3 linked regions of the Canis lupus familiaris genome follow. The protein of the gene in region 1 interacts with the protein of each later gene in a pairwise test. Links are inferred from orthologs where the notes say so. Each region holds a gene or a part of one and is shown on either strand. Other genes may lie near its edges.

Region 1 (5,882 bases):
AAGTGAAGCATAACAAACCAGCAGTCTCCTAGTGGTCCTGCAGGAACGACATTAGCTTCTAAGTGAGGCTGTCGGGAGAAACCCTGACCTCAGTATCATATATGCAAATAGATTAATGAACTGAGGTTTTTTTTTAATGGCAAGCTATTAAGAAACTAGAAGAAAATACATTTGATCATAGAAGTAGAAATTTTTAAGCATAAAAAGCAATAGGAAAGATCATGAGATTTGACTACTGAAAGCTTTCAAACTTCTATAGATTAAAAAAAATACAAAGGACTAATGGGGAAACAAATAGGAAATAAATTATTTATATCTTACACACAGCTCATAAAAAAGTAATAAAAATACTAGAACCCCAGTGGGATAAATAGGTAAGAAATATGAACAGTAAGTTTGTAAGAGAAACACAGATGGCTAATAAAAATATGAGAGCATATCCAGTCTCACATGCAAATTAAAACAATACTGTTTTTCAGCTATAATTTATTTTAATTTATTTGTTTTTGTCTTAAGCTCACTCAGTCCTGGCATAGGCAAAATGAGAAAGGCATTCATACACTGCTTGTAGGGTGTAAATTGATACAAGCATTCTGGAAAGTCGTTTGGCAAAGTGAATCAGGAGCCTTCGATCCAGTGATTTAACTTCCAGGAATCTCTCCTAAGGATATTATCAAAAATTATCCAGAGATATTTATCCTGGCATTGGTATAACAGCAGAAAATGGGTATCAACACTATGATCCAATAATAGCAGAATGGCTAACGTAAATTGTTGTGTCCTTATAATCCCATCGATACTTTGAATGTTTGCAGAGAAAGTTTAACACTCAAAACCTGTAATCTAGTGCATCCAGCACTTACAGTTACTACCTTTACATTACTAAACAAGGGATAGTATTTGCTGCTTCATATTTTGTTTTACTTTCTAAATGTTCAAAAATGCAAATTCCTCATTTTTATTATCGGGGAAAAGAGTTAAACAGACACGCTCACTCTCTCTCTCTTAAATTGCTTTCTCTACATCAGGCAGGAAAATGGGCTTCTGCTCTAGCAGCTATTTAATCATTACGGAAGTCTTAGCCATTGTGTGTACATGTAAACACAACACATAATTTTTTAGATTGGATTGGAGACCATAGTTTTCACATTGGCTGAACCATGCTAGAGTTACCTGCAAGATAGATTGTTTAAAGCCATATGGGATGTGACTGTGTTCACTGCGTGGCCTATAATAATCTGCCATTAATGGTGTAGGACTTTGTCAGAATGCCCCCCACCGCCCCCACTTTCCTTTTTTTAAAGGCTGGGTAGGATCGATTTCCTACACTCCTGGCACTCTAAGATGTCACAGGAAGAAGTTTGGAGCAGATGGTAGTTCGGAGAGATCAGATTCCACATAGTATGAATTATTTTTATAATTTTCTTTTCCCCTCGACCTTACATCTTACAGCTCTTAGCACTACTTCCTCCACCTGTGGTTTTCTAGTTTTTTTACTTTTCTTGATCCTCCTTTGTTATATTATTTCCTAGAAACCTCTTAAATATACAAAATAACAAAGGGATATTGTATGAACTAATACAATTAACTAAGATTTTATCAGTTGTGCAAGATTTGGAGAATGTCTAGTTAGCCAAATTTTAGATCCATGCAGATTCATATATTGAAGTTACACAGATGCTTTTCAGCTGTGAAAAATGATAATGAAGACATTGCATGCATTGTCTTCCTACAGGAGTACATCTTTACTATGTTGGAGGGGAGGTGTACGCCGAATGCCTCAGTGACAGCAGTATCTTTGTGCAAAGTCGGAACTGCAACTACCATCATGGATTTCACCCCACTACTGTTTGCAAGATCCCCAGTGGGTGTAGTTTGAAAATTTTTAATAACCAAGAATTCGCTCAGTTATTGGCACAGTCTGTGAACCATGGCTTCGAGACAGTCTATGAGCTCACTAAAATGTGCACTATCCGCATGAGCTTTGTAAAGGTAAGTGAATTCTGATTCCTCTGGTCAGGGTTTGACACACTTGCTGCGCCTTCTCTTAGTTGTATATAAATCTGTATCTTCTTGGTATGTGCCCATAGAAGCCAACTTATTACCTAGACGTTTTTAAACTTTAGTGAGGATGTCAGTTACCAGGAGAATATAATTAGAATATAGGAGAGTTTGTATTACATGTTAGCAGCATAGGCGGCTTGACTAACTGTCCTATTTGAATAAGCACTATTTTAGTCATTGTAGTACCATAAAAGAATGTCTTGTTATACATTTAACTTGTATAATTTAAATGCATGGTTTTCTTAAGAGATCAATTCAGTAAACACACCCCCCTTCCTTTTCTTTTTATTCTGTGTTCTTAATACCTTTATGATGGTAATGATTGTTGCTTTAGTTTTGACAATGAACAAGTAATCTTTTTGTAAATAAAAATTCGTAACACTGGGTTTTTTGTTGTTTTTTTTTTCCCACTGGGGTTTATTTTTGATTGGTCAGACTTTTTTTAATGGTTGTGGCAAAAACTCACGATTTTCTTATAATTCAAAAATTAATAAGACCTTTGCCCACAAATGCCTTAGTTCTAAGATTATTGTTAGGGTTGAGAATGGGGAAGGTTAAAGACATTGTTCACGGTTAAGTGATCTCTTTTATGCATTTGCCTCTGAAAAATAAAAAGTTTTAAGATGTCATTGAAATGTAAAAACATTAAATATCTGGTTAGATTTTATGAGTTGTAACTTATTCTAATGACTGACTTGTCTCTGAATTCTCAAAGATAAATTTTCATCCTCTGTTACCTTGAGAAACAGAACTAATTATATATTTGGGTGAGGCAATCACCTTTTATGTCCTCTCTTTAGAAGCTCACCTAACTTGTTGTTAAACCTGTTTGTAATGTATGTGTTACAGAGGGTAATTTTGGAAACTTACTTTGTTAATCATCCTTTAGATCAAAGATACCTTTCCCTGAGTATCATTGTTTTCTTACTTCTTTGAATCATAGTAGCAGATTTTGACTGTGTTCTCTGAATGTTGGCTTTCTCAAAACATAATTCAGTAGTTCTTTGTGGCTGAGTCTGGTGCCTTTTTAGTATTAAAGGAGGGTTTTTACCTTTTAAAGGGATTTACCAATATGCTATGTACCTATGGGACTATAAAGATCTTTCTCAGCCACAGTTAACATTCACTGTTTCGTTTTTGACTTTGCGTTTTAGCTAAAATGAATTTTAAAATGAGGACAGTCACTTGCCAGCAGTGCTTTTTGTCTGTTGTTTACTGGTATGGAGGAAAGAATACCTGTTGAGAGTCAAGAGACCCAGGTTCTAGTTTTATCTGCCATTTTAACTGTGCGGTTAAGGCACAGGGATCCTTTGCTGATCCTCATGATTGTCATCTTTAAGACCGGTAGGTGGAGTTTGGGAACTGTGGTAATCATTACAAAGGTCCCTTGGTGAGTCTACTACTATTGAAGAACCACTCAAGAGGAAATTAATGACTCTACTGCTCCAACTGGCTTTCTCCTCATGCTCATTTCATATTGATTACCTAATTTTAATGGTTTTACTTTTATACATTTTAAAATATTTTTACACAAGTACAAACTTTACACTAATAAAAAGTGTTTATGATATAAAGATCTGCATTAACAATGTATTAGATTTCATTTATTAAGCAAATATTTTTAGCACCATTCCAGAGAATTAACGCAAAGATGTAAAAGCACCTAACGTCTCTAGGATCACAATGATAGTAGCCTATTACATGTTTAACTATAAAATAATGAGATGGAATGGAAGGTTATGGACATATAATAAATCATATATAATAAAGATATAATGGACATAGTTGGGAAGCTGGATTTGGAGAGTTATGGGTAAACAAATTTCGTTTTAAAACTCCTGCTGACATGATAAAGGGCAGCTGCTTATACATTTGCAACAACAACAACAAAATTCAATAGTGTTTGTGCAGTATTGTTCTTTATTATGATAAGGGTTGCATACCTTGCCCTGTCACTTAGCATCTTAGAGAAATGATACAGCACATTTTACTAATATTAATAGCCAATCTTGTGCTATTTTGAAGACCATCATTTTGGACTTTAAAGCATTCATTTTATAAATTATTTGCACAATGAACTCCCCATATATATCTGAAAAGTCCAAGTCAATTCAGCTGAACAGGTATTTCTTAGGGCTTCTGCTTTGTGCCAGTCACTGTGCTAGGTGTTTGAGATCAAAGATAAATAAGATCTGGTCTTCCCTGTCTTCAAAGAACTTACTATCTAATGTAGGAAACATGCACACAAACCTTTAAATTTAGCAATGTATTGATATAAGTACAAATGCATAGATGTATATCGGTATGCAGTTCATATATCACAACTTTTTCTTGAAGGTTCTGATGTTCATATGTATTTCTTGAAATTCCTGGAGTAGGTAGGTGTCAGAGATAAATAGAATCCAACCTTCTCTAACATCCCTCACGAAACAAGGATTTATCAGAGCTTTATTTTCCATTGCCCACACCAGTGAGTTTTTGATCTTTGCAATTGCAAAATTAGCTTTCTCTTTTGCAATTTTAGTGTACCAATTCAGTAATGCTGAAGATGTCTGGATGTATAGATCTATTATATACATATACATCCGTGTATACAATATGTAATGGAATCTATTGATTCAGAGCAATGATTAGGTGTCAATTATAGCTTTTTGGGTATGTATGTGCTTCTGCCAGTTTGCTTGGAGATAGAAAGATCAAAAGCACTTGTGTTGATAGGAGGACCACCAGTGAGTGAGTAGGCAAGAAGCAGAATGTCTGTTTGCCTAACAGTAACTTCTGTCTTATTTTCTTGATGGTAAAATGAGAATTTAATATGTTACAGTACCATCAGTAAGGTAGTGGGCAATGAAAATGAAAGTTAGAAAGTGCCTTCATTAAAACAGCCTTATAATGTGTTTTGAAACTTCCATTCCCCAAGACCAGTACTCTTGACCTGGAATCTATGTAAGGACTTCAGGGAGCCTTGAACACACCCATCCCCTGAAATTGCCTGCCTCTTACGTGTGTTTGTGTGCACAAGCACCTGTCATGGAAAGCATCCATGTCTTTAATCAGCATGTCTGATTATGAGAACTCTTCTTATAAGTTTAATCACGGAGTTAAGCAAGTGAAATGACCTCCAATGTGTCTTCTAGGGTTGGGGAGCCGAATACCACCGCCAGGATGTTACTAGCACCCCCTGCTGGATTGAGATCCACCTGCATGGCCCCCTCCAGTGGCTGGATAAAGTTCTTACTCAGATGGGTTCACCTCACAATCCTATTTCATCTGTGTCTTAAACGGCCTCAGGCTTCTGCCTCTTGAAAACTATTGAGCCTTGCATGTACTTGAAGGATGGAATCAGACACGATTGAGAACTGACAAAGGAGCCTTGATAATACTTGACCTCTGTGACCAACTGTTGGATTCAGAAATAAAAAAGCCTTGGTAACATACTGTCGATATCAAGAACCTGTTTAGTTTACATTGTAACGTTCTATGGTAAAATCAACTAAAATGCATACTTTCAGCAGGACTTCGTATATAGTTAAAGGAGAGATGGCCAAGCCAGGGACAAATTATCTATTGGAGAAATGGTCCTAAGAGATTCTTTTGTGTTTGGCACTTTAAGGTCATCATTTGGCAAAAGTTTAGCATTAATAGTCTCTCTGAAGTGTGTTTTTATCAGGTTTAGGACCCATGTTGAATCTTCTTTTCATGGGTTTTCATAATATTTTAAAACTGTTTGTTTAGTAATGGTTTTTGTTTGTTTTTTAAGTAAAGTTTAATCTTGATGATATACATAGTAATCTTTCTAAAATTGTATGCTGACCATA
Region 2 (7,290 bases), on another chromosome or scaffold:
GTGTCTCTCATGAATAAATAAGTAAAATCTTTAAAAAAACAACAACTTTAACTTTGGTGGGAGCACAATGTTAATTAAATTCAAAGTAACAGCCAACCATAGAAAATTAGGCACATTTAAAAAAGATTTTCTGGGCAGCCCAGGTGGTCCAGTGGTTTAGCGCCACCTTCCACCCAGGGCATGATCCTGGAGTCCCAGGATTGAGTCCTAGCGCAGGCTCCCTGCATGGAGCCTGCTTCTCCCTCTGCTTGTGTCCCTGCCTCTCTCTCTGTGTCTCTCATGAATAAATAAATAAAATCTTTAAAAAAATAATAAAATAAAAAAGATTTTCCAAAGGGGAACACCTGATTCTTGATTTAGCCTTGGGTCATGATCTCAGGGTTGTGAGATCAAGTCCCGTGTCTTGGCTCCATGCTGGGCATGGAACTTGCTTAAAATTTTCTCCCTCTCTCTTCTCCTCTTCCTCCCTCTCTTAAAGGATTCCCTCCCCCCAAAATTATACCAGACTGCTTTAAAAAGAGAAGAAGGAAATTTCCTAATTTCACTTGTTTCAGTTTAATTTATGCCTTATTTATACCTCAAAGCAGAAGACATGCTGGCCACCTGTTGTTGAGTATTGCATCATCAATTGTTGGTTTCAGAGCCATTCTTCACTCAGGCTGGATGATTTTAGGTCCTTTCATTTTTTCTTCATTTAGACCTGCCTGACTTCTGGAACTGGTACAGGCCCTACAAGATCCTTATTCCGGGGACCTACAAATGAGTGAGACCAAGAACCAGCAAGCCAGGTGGTCACTTCTAAACAGGGACATAGTCAGTTAATTGCTGATTAATTGATCTGATCAAATTATGAGGGCTCTGGCAGCTACAAATGATAAGGTATTTCATGTAGTTTTCAAGGAATCCCAGTAAACCACCATCCCATTAAGTGCCTACTATTTGTCCAAGTAAAACTGAGTGGCCCAAGAGTCACCTGGAATAATGGGTTTGGGGAGAGGAGGTGGCTATTTATTAGAGAGGAAAGTATATTTGTCAAGATCAAAAGGTGATACAGGGGGATCCCTGGGTGGCTCAGCGGTTTAGTACCTGCCTTTGGCCCAGGGCACGATCCTGTAGTCCCGGGATCGAGTCCCGCGTCCCGCGTGGGGCTCCAGGCATGGAGCCTGCCTCGCCCTCTGCCTGTGACTCTGCCTCTCTCTCTCTCTCTATCATAAATAAAATCTTAAAAAAAAAAAAAAGGTGATACAAAGGGTGTCAGTTGGGTGCCTCTAACACAAGATCTTGAACCTTCCTTTTTCCAGGGTTTCATGACCTAGTAAAATATTTTTTTTACATAATTAAACCTTCATGCATTGCTTTGGTTCAAATTAACTCAGAATTTTATTTCATTTTTAAGGATTTATTTATTTGAAAGAAAGAGAGAGAGAGATCACAAGCAGGGGGAAGGGTAGAGGGAGGGAGAGCAGCAGACTCCCCCTGAGAAGAGAGCTCAGAGCCCAAGCGGGACTGGGTCTCAGCACGGTGAGATGAGCCAAAATCTAGAGTCCCAGACTCAACAGACTGAGCCCCACTTAAGGAATTTTAAAAACAAAATTTGATTTGGTTTCCCACTGAGTAAAAAATTTGAATTCAAGTTGTGCGGGGAGACGTGGCAAAGTAGTGGTTTCGGATTCACCAGTCTGATTGTAGACACTGCTTCCACCTCCGGATACAGAACCACACTGGGAAGGGACTCCTGGAATTTCGTTTCAAGCCCATGGTCCATGGAGTTTTTCCGCTGCTTAGGGGGGGTGGGGGCGGGGGCAAAAGCATTTGACTGTACGGAAACTTTCAGACATCTGTCCAATCCCATAGAGTGAGTGCTCCCCCAGGGTATGCACACCTGGATGAATCCTTTTCTTATTCTGCGCTTGAGGACTCAGATCTACCTTTACTTGCTGTGTGGCCAGGCAAGTCACTACGCCACAAGACTTACTTATAAAATGGGTCGGATAATGCCTTTTACAAGGCTGTTTTGGGGAGTACAGACGTAAGAGATCACAGCTGACTGCTAGTTTCTTGGGTGGGGGTGGGTGGGGGCTTTTGACCAAGATCCAAAGCAGAACACGAGAATTTCTGCCTCCTCAGTGTCTCGCCATACCTACCTCCCAACCAATCTCCCCTTCATTGAATTTGTGCGTTCAGAGCACTCTGATCTAGTTCAGGCTCCGATGCGACGAGGCGGTATGCCGCGACGTCAGGCAATTCCAGCTGTCTGGGGCTCTGCGGCTGCGGCGGACTTCGAGGATCGCACCGCCAGCCGTAACCTCATCAACATGGCTGCTGGGAACAGCTGGCCGGAAGAAGTTGTGGACCCCAAGGCTCACTTCCGCTTCCGTTGGCGCAAGCGCCGTCATTTCTTCAGCCACCGTGACTAAGATGGAAGCCTTTCTGGAGTCGCGGTCCAGAGTTTGGGCCGGTGGTCCCGCCCCGGGGCAGTTTTACCACATCCCGCCTAGTTCCGTCGCCTCCGTGGAGCCGGCGTTTTCTCCTTACGGGGGTCCGGTTACGCGCACGCAGTAAGTTCTTGGCGTCCGAGCTGCGCAGGAGGCGGGACGCTGAGGCCTGGTCGAGCCGGACGGTTCGGAGGCAGCCGGGGAAGGCGCCCCAAGGCCCGCGAACGGCGGGGACCACGGCGCGGAGTCCCGGAGAATGGAAGGGGAGATGGAAAATCAGACGCGGAACCACTGCGCGGAAGAGGGCTCAGGCCCTTCTCCCGTGCCTCCCCTCATCTCCCTCCCTCTGTCTAGGAACCCCATGGTGACCGGGACCTCGGTCTTGGGTGTCAAATTCGAGGGTGGAGTGGTGATTGCAGCAGACATGCTGGGCTCCTATGGCTCCTTGGCTCGTTTCCGCAACATCTCTCGCATTATGCGAGTCAACGACAGCACCATGCTGGGTGCTTCCGGAGACTATGCAGATTTCCAGTATTTGAAGCAAGTTCTCGGCCAGATGGTGTAAGTTATCTGGAGATTAGGGAGTAGATCCCAAGTGGGGAGAGGAATTCACTGTATTGTTTTTAAATATCCCCTTAGAAGTTCTGGGGTGGGGGAATTTGAGGCTGTAGCGGAGGACAGGAGAATTGCTGAGGGTGGAAGATGATAGTGTGTGCAGCACATAGTTTTTGGCGTTAGGCAGTGTAAAATGAGGAAGATTGTGGTAACTTCTTTGGGGTGAGGGTGGATGGAATTCCCGACTTCCATTCTCTCCTTTTTTCTCATGACTTACTCCTTTTAAGGATTGATGAGGAGCTGTTGGGAGATGGACACAGCTATAGCCCTAGAGCTATTCATTCATGGCTGACCAGAGCCATGTACAGCCGTCGCTCCAAGATGAACCCCCTGTGGAACACCATGGTCATTGGAGGCTACGCTGATGGAGAGAGGTTGACTTGAAATAACTTAATTTCCCCGACTATCTAACCTCTAGTGTCTATGTAGTGTCTTGTCTCTTCTCCCTAAGAGAATGTCACTTCTCAGACCCCATGGCCCCATCCTTCTGCTAAGATACCCAAGAAAACCTAAGATGAAATTAGTTCTTTGACCTGTTGTGTCCTGTTAGCTTCCTCGGTTATGTGGACATGCTTGGTGTAGCTTATGAAGCCCCTTCGCTGGCCACTGGTTATGGTGCATACTTGGCTCAGGTACGTGCGGGAGAGGTGTGGGGGAGGCAGTGGGGGCTCGTCTCCTTGGTTCTTCTCTTAAAATTCCAATGTGAAGATAGACTAAGATCCCTCCTGCTGGCAGATAGTTTTCTTTGTAGTCTGAAAGCTGTATGTGTTGGCACTTACATTCTGTTGATAAAGTGGTGTGTCAGATTCAGTAGACATGTGCAGAGAGAAATGCCCTACAATTTACCCTTCAGGTTGGTGTTAGCACAAGTAAGCAGAATTCATTCTGGTGAGGCAGTAGGCAGAATGTCATTTTATGCTGCTTTTTACTTTGTGAATTTGGGACAGATGGGTATTCAACCCCTGGTAATCTCCCGTGTTCTTCCCATTTCCCTAGCCTCTGCTGCGAGAAGTTCTGGAGAAGCAGCCAGTCCTGAGCCAGACTGAGGCCCGAGAGCTAGTGGAACGCTGCATGCGAGTGCTTTATTATCGAGATGCCCGCTCCTATAACCGGGTGAGGAAGGACATGAATAATAGAGGATAGGACTCTTAACTAGCGAGCTGTCCATAGTTTCAGTACCTGGGTCTTTGCTTTTGAAGAACAGATTGCAGAATTTCCTATTTTCAGATTAGGGGAAGATCCTCTCCTTGACCTTTGAGCAGGCCTCAGGGACTTTATGTGGGGTGGGCATGTTCATTGGGAGTTCTGCTTTCTTTCAGTTTCAAATTGCCACAGTCACCGAAAAAGGTGTTGAAATAGAGGGACCACTCTCTGCAGAGACCAACTGGGAGATTGCTCACATGATCAGGTGACTGAAATTAAAGTTACAGAAGGAAAAATAAGTGGTAGAACAGTTGGGAGGCCCCTTGGCTTGCACTAAGCTGCATTTTTCTGGAGGTCTTAAAAGGATTCTTTGGACGGAGAGGGTTTTGGTTGGAGGATAGAGTTGCTTTTGGGAATTAATTCCTCCCCCTCTGCTTCACAGTTTTTAAATGCTCTTTCTTTTTAGTGGTTTTGAATGAAATTCAGATGCATTATCCAGAATTGAAGTTGTGCCCTTCTTCTAACTTTGAACTTGGCTGGTTCAAAGGTCTACTTTTCTACTGTAAAATAAATTCTTTGAAATGCTTGCTGAGTGGTTTTATTGTCTGACTAGGTCATACCAAGAGTGCAGGTGTGAAGTACTGCCATGTGCCATCTCCCTCCCTGGTCAGATAACCCTGCTTTGGCTCTCGATTCTTCGAGCAAATACAGGATTCTCTGAATGACAGTACAGGAGGATCCACTACCATCTTCATTTGGGCCTATACTAAAATAACAGCTTTGTATAGATGCCAGGCCTAATCTTTGTGGGATAACAAAAGTACTTAACGTTTTTCTTAAACATTGCCACCCATGTGCTAGATTCTTACTGATTTTCTGGTATGTTGGCTGCAAATATTTTAGTTAAAACACCATTTCAAAGAGAGAAATGTAGCATCTAGTAAAGCTGCTCTGGGTAAAGTTATTCCCAAGCAGGACTGGCCTGACAGCTTTAATACCTCACCCATGTTACCTCCTCACCTTCAATAGAGGAAATACAAAGTAATTTCATTTAATTTAAATGTTTATTGTCCAAATCTATCAGAAGACCTCTTTAAAGTATTATGTGTTCATTTAAAAGTCCTTTTAGCCATAAATCAAATCATTTGGAGTGTTAGCCAAATTCTCCCAAAATGGTGTTAAACCTGAATTTAAAAAATGAACACCCAGGGCACTTGGGTGGCTCACTGGTTGAGCGTCTGCCTCCGGCTCAGGTTGTGATCCCTGGGTCCTGGAATCTGGTCCCATATCGAGCTCCTCGCAGGGAGCCTACTTCTCCCTCTACCTAGGTCTCTGCCTCTCTCTGTCTCCTGAATAAATCTTTTAAATAAATAAATGAACCCCCTAGGTGATTCTGATGCATATCCTCTCTCGAATGCTTTGAGAAACTAGCATAGGTAGCAAACTCAAACTTGCAGAAGTTCAATGAGGTGAGAGAGTGGAGGGGGAGACTGAAATATCCCTGCATTTTATCATCCCATGTTATAACAAACTAGTAAGTCAAAGGAAACTTAGTTTTCTATTTGTCTTCCACATACTCAGTCTCAACACAGAAAGTAGTCAATAAATACTTTATTGATTAAACTGAATTATAAAAAAAACAAAACAAAAAAAATTTCCTTCTACTACTAAGCCATGCAGGCAGAATCCACAAATGTAACTTCCTGGCCAAAACCCAGCTGATCCACTGTTGGTGTTATATAGTCTTAAAAAAACTACCCATCAAGAAAGTCACAGTATGCAGAGGCCAGGAACCCAGCTCTGCTGAGGCTGGGGCTGCTGTGGAGACTACCAAAGAGAAGGTTAGGTCATTGTAGATAGTTGACCATAGTTCTTGAACTTTCTCAAAGGCAAAGGGTTGACTTCGAAGTCCATTTTAATGTCAAAATGGCATCAGGCAAAAAGCTGGGGAAGAGAAGCCCAAGAGAAGATAGATCCTCAGTTCACTTTTCAGATGCCATGGGTTCACGAAGCTGGCCAAGCTGTTTATGGGCAGGATCACTCCAGTTCACTATATTATAGTGTGCTGGGAGTTAAAAAACCAAAAAATGGAGGTGAGGAGAAACAGGCGTAACAAGTGTCACACCTGTACCACCAGGCCCATCACATCTTGAGCATGTCCCAGTCTGTGAAAGCCTACTAAAATAGGATTACCTAGAAAAAAAAAAAAACCACATTGTTTATAAATCCATTTCCCCTCATTTTATTAAATGTCCCACTTATATACATTTTAAAGATGAACCATTTACAAGCCTGTGCAGGCTGCCTCCTTGGCTCCCAGGAGGGACATGTTGCTGAAAGCCTTGGGATGGAAGGTGTAGCTGTGGGAAAGCTGGCCTTGGGTTTTTGTTCCTTTTCTCTGTATGATACAGTACATTTCAGTTTATAACTGTGAGTACATACAGTTAAAAAAAATCCCTCATGCAAATTGTAGAAACATTTTCTTTCCTTGAAGCTGGCAGTGAAAAATAAAGATTCGTGTCTTTCTTTGTGCACACCCCTGTGTGTTTCTTCTTCAGGTCACATTCTTCTCTAAGCATTAAGAGGAATAAGGAAAGCCACAGAGTAAGCAGGATTTCAACAAGTGGTCTTATTTTTAAAGTTCAACACTTAACTTCTTGCACAATTAGCTCCTGGATGTAGGACATGTGATCTCTTGAACAGGCATGCTGTCCACTTAACATGATGAAGACCCATACACTGGCTTCCACCCTAACACTGTGTGATCACCTCAGTACCTCTTGCTTGCTAATGACACATGTATGATCCTTTGTCCAGAGTAATGGTGTGAGCATGGGAAAAGGGGCCAAAGATCCCAAGTGCAAAGAATACTCATTTTGTCATGTTTTTGTTGGAGGGAGGGTGGTGAGGAAAAACAAATCTAATTCATCATTCTGGATGAGAGGTGGTTTCATGCATTTTTTTAAAGCCACAATTTTATATCTCTAAGAGTTGCTGTAGAAACCAACATCTCTGGAGAGGGAAGGAAAGAAAGGAGAAGGAAGAGAGAGTTCAGTGGGATTTTTTTCCATTTTCGTTTTTATATAAAAGTGTTAAG
Region 3 (7,295 bases), on another chromosome or scaffold:
AAGACCAGGGGCCCATCCATGTGCAGCACACCATCAACCTTGGGAGTCAGAGAATTTCTCTATGGCAGACAGGAACCACAGGGCCCTGGCATTGTCTCCTACACTCCTGGCGGTGTCCCACCTCTTGGGAGCACAGCTAGCCATTCCCTAACCAGCTGGCCCATGGTGACCAGACTGCACCCCACTGGCCAAGGTTACTCCGAAGGCCGCCTACCAGGAAACAAGCCTTTTGCAGGAGGAAGGGAGATCAGATCCAACTTCCAGCCCCTCTGCCACAGGGAGTTAGAGCACACAAGCCAGCATCCCCAGTGGCCCCCAGAGATGCCTCCCTCCGATGGTCCAGGCCTGGCCCACAACACAGAGCTGTTCTGTGTGACTGATAGAGTGTGGCAGTTAGGCCACTTCCAAGCTGAGGTCATGGAGACGACTTCTAGCTGCTTCTGGCTTCTCCCTGTTCTACATCATTCACTCTCAAGTGCGCACACTAACTCTCCCACACCATCACTGGTTCCAAAGGAAGCAAGCCATCATTCCACGCTGTCACGATGCTCAAGCAGTCTATGGAACCCACATGGCAAGAAGTGGGGTCTCTGCTGACAGCCAGCAAGAAACCAAGACCTGCCAGCAAGCATGGGAGTGGGTGGCCCCCAGCCCTAGTCGGGCCTTCAGATGAGACCTGATGAGTGACCGTGTATCAGGTTGTATCAGGACCACTCCACTAAGTCACTCCCAAGTTCTAACCCTCACAAGCTGAGAGCAGATGAGTGCCTGTGGTGCTAAGCTACTGAGATTCAGGGTACTCATGAGACGACTCACCAGGTTGCTGATAGATCCAGAGGAGGCTCTTGTGCTTCCTGGGAAGGAAAGCCCTCCCACCCCCACCCCTTGGCCCTCACTGCTTCCCAGGAGACACTCTGGGTCAGTGACTGTGGCTGCCCAGAGGCACTGCGAGAGTGCAGGTCGGGGCCCCCCACCCCCAGGTGGTGGCAGACTCACCCAGCTCTGTAGGCTTCAGCAATTCATCCAGCATGTTAAAGAAGGGAAGCTTCACCAGACGCACTTCCGGCTTGAGGGTCTTGGTGGGCAAGCGTCCAAGTCCATTCAAGTACTTCCCATAGAGCACGGGGTAGTCAATGTTGGGGCCCGAGAGGGGAGTCCTGGGCACCGTGCCAGCCCGATCGTAGGTTGAGTGCATGGTCAGGGGGTCCAGGGGCCGGTGGGGCTGGGGGACAGGCTCTGAGCTCTTCTTGGCGTAGCGCGTTTCGTACAGCTCCTTGATTTTCTTGAACAGCTCGGGGCTACAGTCAAACTGGACCAGCTGGAGGGCCCGGGTGACAAGTTCGTGTTTAAGTCCGCTCTTACTCCGGCCAACAAAACCCAGGAGCATCTGAAGATCGGAGACTCGGAAACTCATCACCATGTTCTGGGGAAGAGCAACCACAGATACACACGCTCAGAGGAGACACAGCCAGATTCGGGGACTGCCAATGGGGCAAGGGGCTTCGTGGAGCCACCTGGGCCCTAAACGGGGGGGACAGCGAAAGGAGAGCCCATCAGGTGCTGCCTGGCCCTCCCTCCAGACCCCCTTCACTCTGGTGGGCAGGAGCAGGAGCCCAGGAGGAGGAGGAGGCGTAGGCACCAGGCCCACCAGCCCAGGCTCAGTCCCACTTCCATGACCTTGCTCACGCTGCCCGCTCACCCTTCCCTATGATGCCCCCTCCCAGCTTAACCCTGCTCCCCTCCACCTCTTCCTCCTCAAACCTTCCTCAGCACTGCCAACGCAGCAAAAGCTTCTGACCGCCCCCCCAACACACACCGCTGCCTTCTATTTTAAGTTCTCTTTTCCCATCTTCAAGCCTGAAAGCATCCCCAGGGCAGGAACTGGGAATCTTCCTTTACCCGTAAACAGCCTCAGCCACTCCCTAGCCAAGAACACTAATGGCCTCTGTGACCCTCAGTCTCTTCGTCAGGATGACAGGACCCACTTCGTTGGGATGTGGGAAGGACCAGATGAGGTAACATACGGAAAGCAGAGAAAATCAACGTTGGCCACAAACACATTTTCCCTTCAGTCTGGAGTATGGTAGCCACGACTTAATACCAATCACTCGCCAGGAACTGAGCTGCACATGTGATCATATACTCAACGCTGATTCTTATGACAATCCTGCTGGGCTGTGGGGAGCTCCACATGACAGCCAAGATTCAAACCTAGGCCTGACTCCAAAGCCAGGGGTAATTTCTCTCTATTGCACTAGGGGTGTCCACATGGGGCTGAGCACTGGTGAACATCAAACGTCTGCTGATCATTCCAGAAGGCCTTCTCTGCCTCGACCCTGTGGACGTTGGGACTGGATTGTTCTCTGGGGCGGGGCCATCCTGGGCACTGTTGGGTACTCAGCAGCATCCCTGACCTCCACCCACTCGATGCCAGGAACTCTCCCCAAGCTCCCGTGGTGATAATGACAAAGGTCCCCCAGACACTGCCAAGTGTGCCCTGGGAACAGTTTCGGCCCATTTAGAACCACGGGTCTGAGGAGAAGGCTTTGGGAATACAGCAGCCACGGAGGCTGTGAGCTGTGGCAAAGTGATGAAAGAGGTCTAGCAGAGTCTGGCACTTACTACCTGGCAGGGTCCCTCCGACTAAATCAAACCAAACACGAGAGCTCAGCTGACGCTGATGTTTTCTTTGGGGCGGCCTGACCATAGCCTGGCCTCGGGGAGACTCTGGGACGCCAAGGGGACTGACACTCCGCAATATGCTACATAAGCAAAGTATCCTTGAAGGATGGATAGGCCGGCAGGGTTTCAGGGCCACCCACACTGAGCCCCAAAGCTGGCCTGCAATGAATGAAATGTGGTGGGGAAAAAGAAACTTCCAGGGGAATGGGGAAAACAGGTACAAGTGATGAAGGTGTATATGGGAAGCTGGCGGGCACAGGGCAGGACAGCACCCAAGGAAACCAATGAAGCCCTTAAATTCAACTTGAGAGTCTGACAGTTAGAGGTGGGTGGGAACCCTGCCAGGGTGTTTACGTAGCAGTCTCACTGCCAGAAGGCTCTGGTGTTTCCCGTTTCCTGGCTGTTGAAGGGTGAGGCGTGTAGTCTGAGGGCAGCACCAGGACTCAGGAGCTCTGGGTTCCTAGGCAACCCCAGGTCCTCTGTAGGGTCCCTCTGCACTTTGGGCATCTCATCTACCCATGCAAGATGTGAGCCCTCTAAGATTTCGGCAGCCGTCCACCAGGTTCCTGCTGATAGCAGAGAGGCTGTCAAGGCACAAAATGACAGATACACACATGTGGGGCTGCCCATCCTGCCTGCAAAATCTCAAGGGGGAGCCTTTTCCCGCTGCAGGGCCTTCCTCCTATTCCCACACTACAGATGTGGAGCATCCGCCACACACCAAGCACAAGGGCTCTTTGCGGCCACGAATCTCACAAGGGTCCACGCCCACCAGGCAGGTTAGAAAACCGAGGCCCCGTGAAAAACGTGGCTGGCCCAGAGCCTCCCCACGTGTCAGTGGCAGGAGCCATCAGAGTCCCAAGGGCACTTCCTTCCACTCCCACCCAGCTATCTGGGGGCCTGGGGACCCCTCACATCCCAGCACACCTCCTGCCTTGGGACTTAAGCAATCTGTAGGCTCTCAGAGAGCCCAGAATGCTTACAAAAACACAAAGACTTCACCTTCCTTGGCCTGACTTCCTACCTTGAGCAGAGAAAATAGGCTTGCAGACAAGATGTTTCTTCTGGAAGAGGCCCAAGGCCTTGGAGGGGAGAGGAGACGTCATGTGGAAGCTGAGTGCCCTCCACGGAGCTAAAGGCAGGTGGGCTCGGTGTGCCGAGTCTGACCACAACACATCTTCTACCATCACCCCGCCCCTGGGAGCACCCTGCCCCCGCCATGGCCCAGCCCTTTCACCAGGTTGGACATCCGGAGCTGCCGCACAAGCATCCTGGGGCACATCCCTCAAGCTGCCATATGTTCACGACTCGGATTTCTCAGCAGCTGCCACCACCAAGGAGCCTGCCCTTGACACTGGGAGGGGGGACAGTGTGAGAGGGGCACAAACATTCAGGAAGAAGCCCCAAGCACTTTGCAAATCACTTCCTGCCATGGCTTCATCCTACCCGCCTGCCCCTCAGATCTGTGTTTATAAACAGCACCAGGCCCCCACGGCTTCCAGAGTCTCAACTCTGGGCTTGTTTGGAGCTATGTGGAAAAACATCAGCCTGGATAGAGCTGCCGCGCTTAACTTAACCCGTCTCGGGTATAGGTTCCTCTGAATGTGGCGGAAAGTTAAGGTCCTTATCGCCAGGAAATGGGAGATCTGTGCAAAATGCTCCCATCTCAAGGGGTTCCCAGACTGCCTCTTCTCCCCAAGCCCTCACAGGGGCCTCAGGCAAAGGCGGATTTCCAAGTTTACCAACAAGCCCCTGTCATTCTCCCTGAGGACCAGCCTGTTTTGAACTCCAAAAGACAAAATCTCCAGCCCCTGTTACTACAAAAGGCTAGGTAAGCACCTAAAAGAAGAGAACACTTCAACGACACCTAAGACACTCCACAGTGGCAGCCACAGACTAAAGAAAGGCGCCCGAGGCTCGGAGCGAGCTGTGTCACTGAACAGAGGCTCACGTTCTAGAGAACTTGAAAAAAGGGTCAACTTGATTTAATTGGGGTGGGGGCCCCAGCCACCGGAGGGTCAAGTAGAGTTCATGAGATCATATTTCAAGGCCCTGGATGGTATAAAAGAATTCAGTCCCTACCGTCTGGCTGGGACTGGGACCGGGTGGGGGGTGGGGTACACCCAGAGTCACAGCCCTATGGGACGGCTTTATTTGAGGGCTCCGGGGGTCCTCAAGCCCACTGGCTGCTACCTTGGGCATGCAGAGTTCAGACTTCCACATCTCCAGGGCAAGTCCCAATTTCTCAAAACCCTACAGAAGGGCAGAGTGTAGTACAGGCATTGAGGGGGACGCTCCAGGGGGAAGGGAACTGCATTTCAGATCTCCGCAGGAAGAGAAGGGAGATGGAGGGAGAGAGAGGAACAGGAGAAAGAAAACATTTACAGGTCAGGACCTGGGGAGGGAAGATCAGTGGGAGGGGAAAAGGCGGAGCCTCTGTCCAGGAAAGGTCCGGTCTCCCACCTCCCGGCCACCAAAGGCCTGGAGTAAACTTCTCAGGGAGGAAGGGAACAACCCCACTGTAGTGTGGGGCAAGGTACCTGGAAGACAGTACCCCTGGAACAGAAATGGCCTCTATGGGATGTGGAACCTGGACCCCAAAATGGAGCATGAGGGAGAAGCACTAGAAGCACTAAAGAGAGAGGGTGGAGAAGCACTCTCCATGAACCAACACAAGAAACCAGCAGAAGGGAAGAGGCAGCCTCAGAAGCCAGAGTTGGGGCGTATAAAGGGATCTAAAGTAGGTTCTGGGGAGCTGCGTAGACACAGTACCACCTCAGTAGAAGCACTTGGGAGTATAAAGGAAACAGCCGGCACAGGGTCTAATTCTGTTAGCGTGAAGTTGAGAGACCCCAGGAGCAGAGTCCAAAATCTCACAAACGCTGTCCCGAGAGTAAAAACGGGGAGCAAGGCAGAGCCCAGGACCCAAGACCGAGGAGACGGGCACGGAGGAAGGCTCTGAACAGGGAACAGGGGCAGGGCTCCATCCCAGGCGGGAGAGCAAACTCGAGAGACCCGGTGCCCACTCCGAGGGCGAGCGAGACGGTGTCGGGAGGGGGGCGGGGCTCCGGGACCAACGCGGGAGCCGAAGCAGGGGGGCGACCTCCAGCCCGGGGTACAAACCCCCAAGCGGACGCGGCGTCTGGGGGGTGCTTCGGGACCCCGGCCCGTCACCCCGGGCGCGGGAAGCGGCGGCACAAGGGGCACGGGGCCCTTCTGAGCAGGGAGTCGCCAAGCCCGGCCGGCCTGCTGGGCAGGGAGGCTGAGACCCAGGGGCCGACCCTCGCTGCCACGGGGGGCGGCGAGGCGAACACGCTCCCCCAGGCCAAAGAGCAGGAGCCCGGCTCGGGGCGCGGAGGGGACGAGCAGCCCAGCCCGTCAGGCTGTCCGGGAGGCGCGGCCCTGCGCCCAGGCTCCGGGAGACTCGCCCCCAACCCCTCGGGCGGGCGGGGGGGCGACCCCGCCTCACGCCCGGGAACCAACCCCCAGCGCGGAGGCTGGGGTAAGGTTTGGGGGGCCCCGCCCCCGGCCTCCCCGCCCCCCGCCCGCACCCGGCGCGCCAGGGCCAGGGGCGGGCGAGGGGGCCGGGCGGCGAACCGCAAGCGGGCCGCGCCGCGGGGCCCCGGGCGGAAGGCGCAGACCTCCGCCCGCCGCCCGGCCCCCGCCCCTTCTCCCGCCCGCCCGGGCCGGCGCCGCCGCCGCTCACTCACTTTGGCCTCCACCAGCTCCGCCGCCATCTTGGCCACCAGCGTCCCCCGCGCCGGGAGCCCCCAGCCGTCGCGTCACGTGACCGCCCGCCACTCGCGGGCGGGGCCGCGGCGGCGGCCAATTAGCACCGCGCGCCCTCCTGCCCCCCCCCGGCGCGCGCTGCCCTGCAGTGCGCAGGCGCGTGCGACCGCCGCCCGGGCCCCGGGCCAATCAGGACGGCCCGACGCTGCCCCCCCACCCCCCCCCACCCCCCCAGCGCCTCCCTCGCGGCGACCACGCCCACCCCTGCCGGCGTCTGGCTACTTAAAGGGATACGCGTCACGCACAGGTGGGGGCGGGCGGTGGGGCGGGAAGGGGACAACAATGCAGCCAGGTGCGCGGCCCCCGCGCTGGGCCGCCGGCCAGGTGCGCGCCCGGACGCCCGGCGGCGTCGGGGGAGGGGCCGGGGCTCCGGCGCAGCGGCCTCCGGCGCGTGCAGCGGGGAGCCCGTCCGCGCGGCCCGGTGCAGCCCCGGCGGGCCCGGCGCCCCGCGCGCTCACATCCGGGTCCCGGCGCGGCGCCCCCCGGCTGGCCCAGGGCCGGGCCGCGAGGACCTCCCCCCGCCCGCTTCCCGCGGCTCGCGCTGCCCCGCCCCCGCGGGCGACCCTCGCGCGGGTCCCGCCTCCCCGCCCGCTGCAACCTTTGGAATCGGCGCCGCCTGGAACCTCCCCTGCTCTAGAGCCTTCCTGGGCTCCCCAGCGCCCGCCGGCAGCGCTGCTGCAACTCGCCTGTGCCGAAGGCGGGAGGCGACAGGACACCCCTGCGTGCCCCGGCGGCGCCCCAGCGTGCGGCTCTGATGCGGGGGTCGTGAGTTCCAGCCCCACGTTGGGGAGCGGAGGGGGGGGGCGAGCTTACTTAGAAATAAT

The links.
Region 2: the proteins of SMAD1 (region 1) and PSMB4 interact in binary tests that used the Homo sapiens proteins (3 or more experiments, as listed by UniProt). The link is inferred for Canis lupus familiaris from reciprocal best matches to the Homo sapiens genes SMAD1 and PSMB4.
Region 3: the proteins of SMAD1 (region 1) and PIAS4 interact in a two-hybrid assay, tested with the Homo sapiens proteins (2 studies listed by BioGRID and IntAct). The link is inferred for Canis lupus familiaris from reciprocal best matches to the Homo sapiens genes SMAD1 and PIAS4.

The regions. Positions count from the first base shown.
Region 1 is NC_049236.1:44,457,950-44,463,831, forward strand, and holds part of SMAD1 (mothers against decapentaplegic homolog 1), read left to right. Parts: intron 1-1,735; coding exon 1,736-1,992; intron 1,993-5,201; coding exon 5,202-5,345; 3' UTR 5,346-5,882. UniProt on the Homo sapiens protein: Transcriptional modulator that plays a role in various cellular processes, including embryonic development, cell differentiation, and tissue homeostasis.
Region 2 is NC_049238.1:61,117,250-61,124,539, forward strand, and holds PSMB4 (proteasome subunit beta type-4), read left to right. Parts: upstream 1-2,386; 5' UTR 2,387-2,418; coding exon 2,419-2,558; intron 2,559-2,789; coding exon 2,790-2,996; intron 2,997-3,277; coding exon 3,278-3,424; intron 3,425-3,600; coding exon 3,601-3,682; intron 3,683-4,046; coding exon 4,047-4,163; intron 4,164-4,369; coding exon 4,370-4,458; intron 4,459-4,659; coding exon 4,660-4,672; 3' UTR 4,673-4,780; downstream 4,781-7,290. UniProt on the Homo sapiens protein: Non-catalytic component of the 20S core proteasome complex involved in the proteolytic degradation of most intracellular proteins. This complex plays numerous essential roles within the cell by associating with different regulatory particles.
Region 3 is NC_049241.1:55,943,661-55,950,955, forward strand, and holds the start of PIAS4 (E3 SUMO-protein ligase PIAS4), read right to left. Parts: upstream 3,980-7,295; 5' UTR 3,965-3,979; coding exon 3,920-3,964; intron 1,522-3,919; exon of another isoform or gene 1,424-1,521; coding exon 997-1,423; intron 1-996.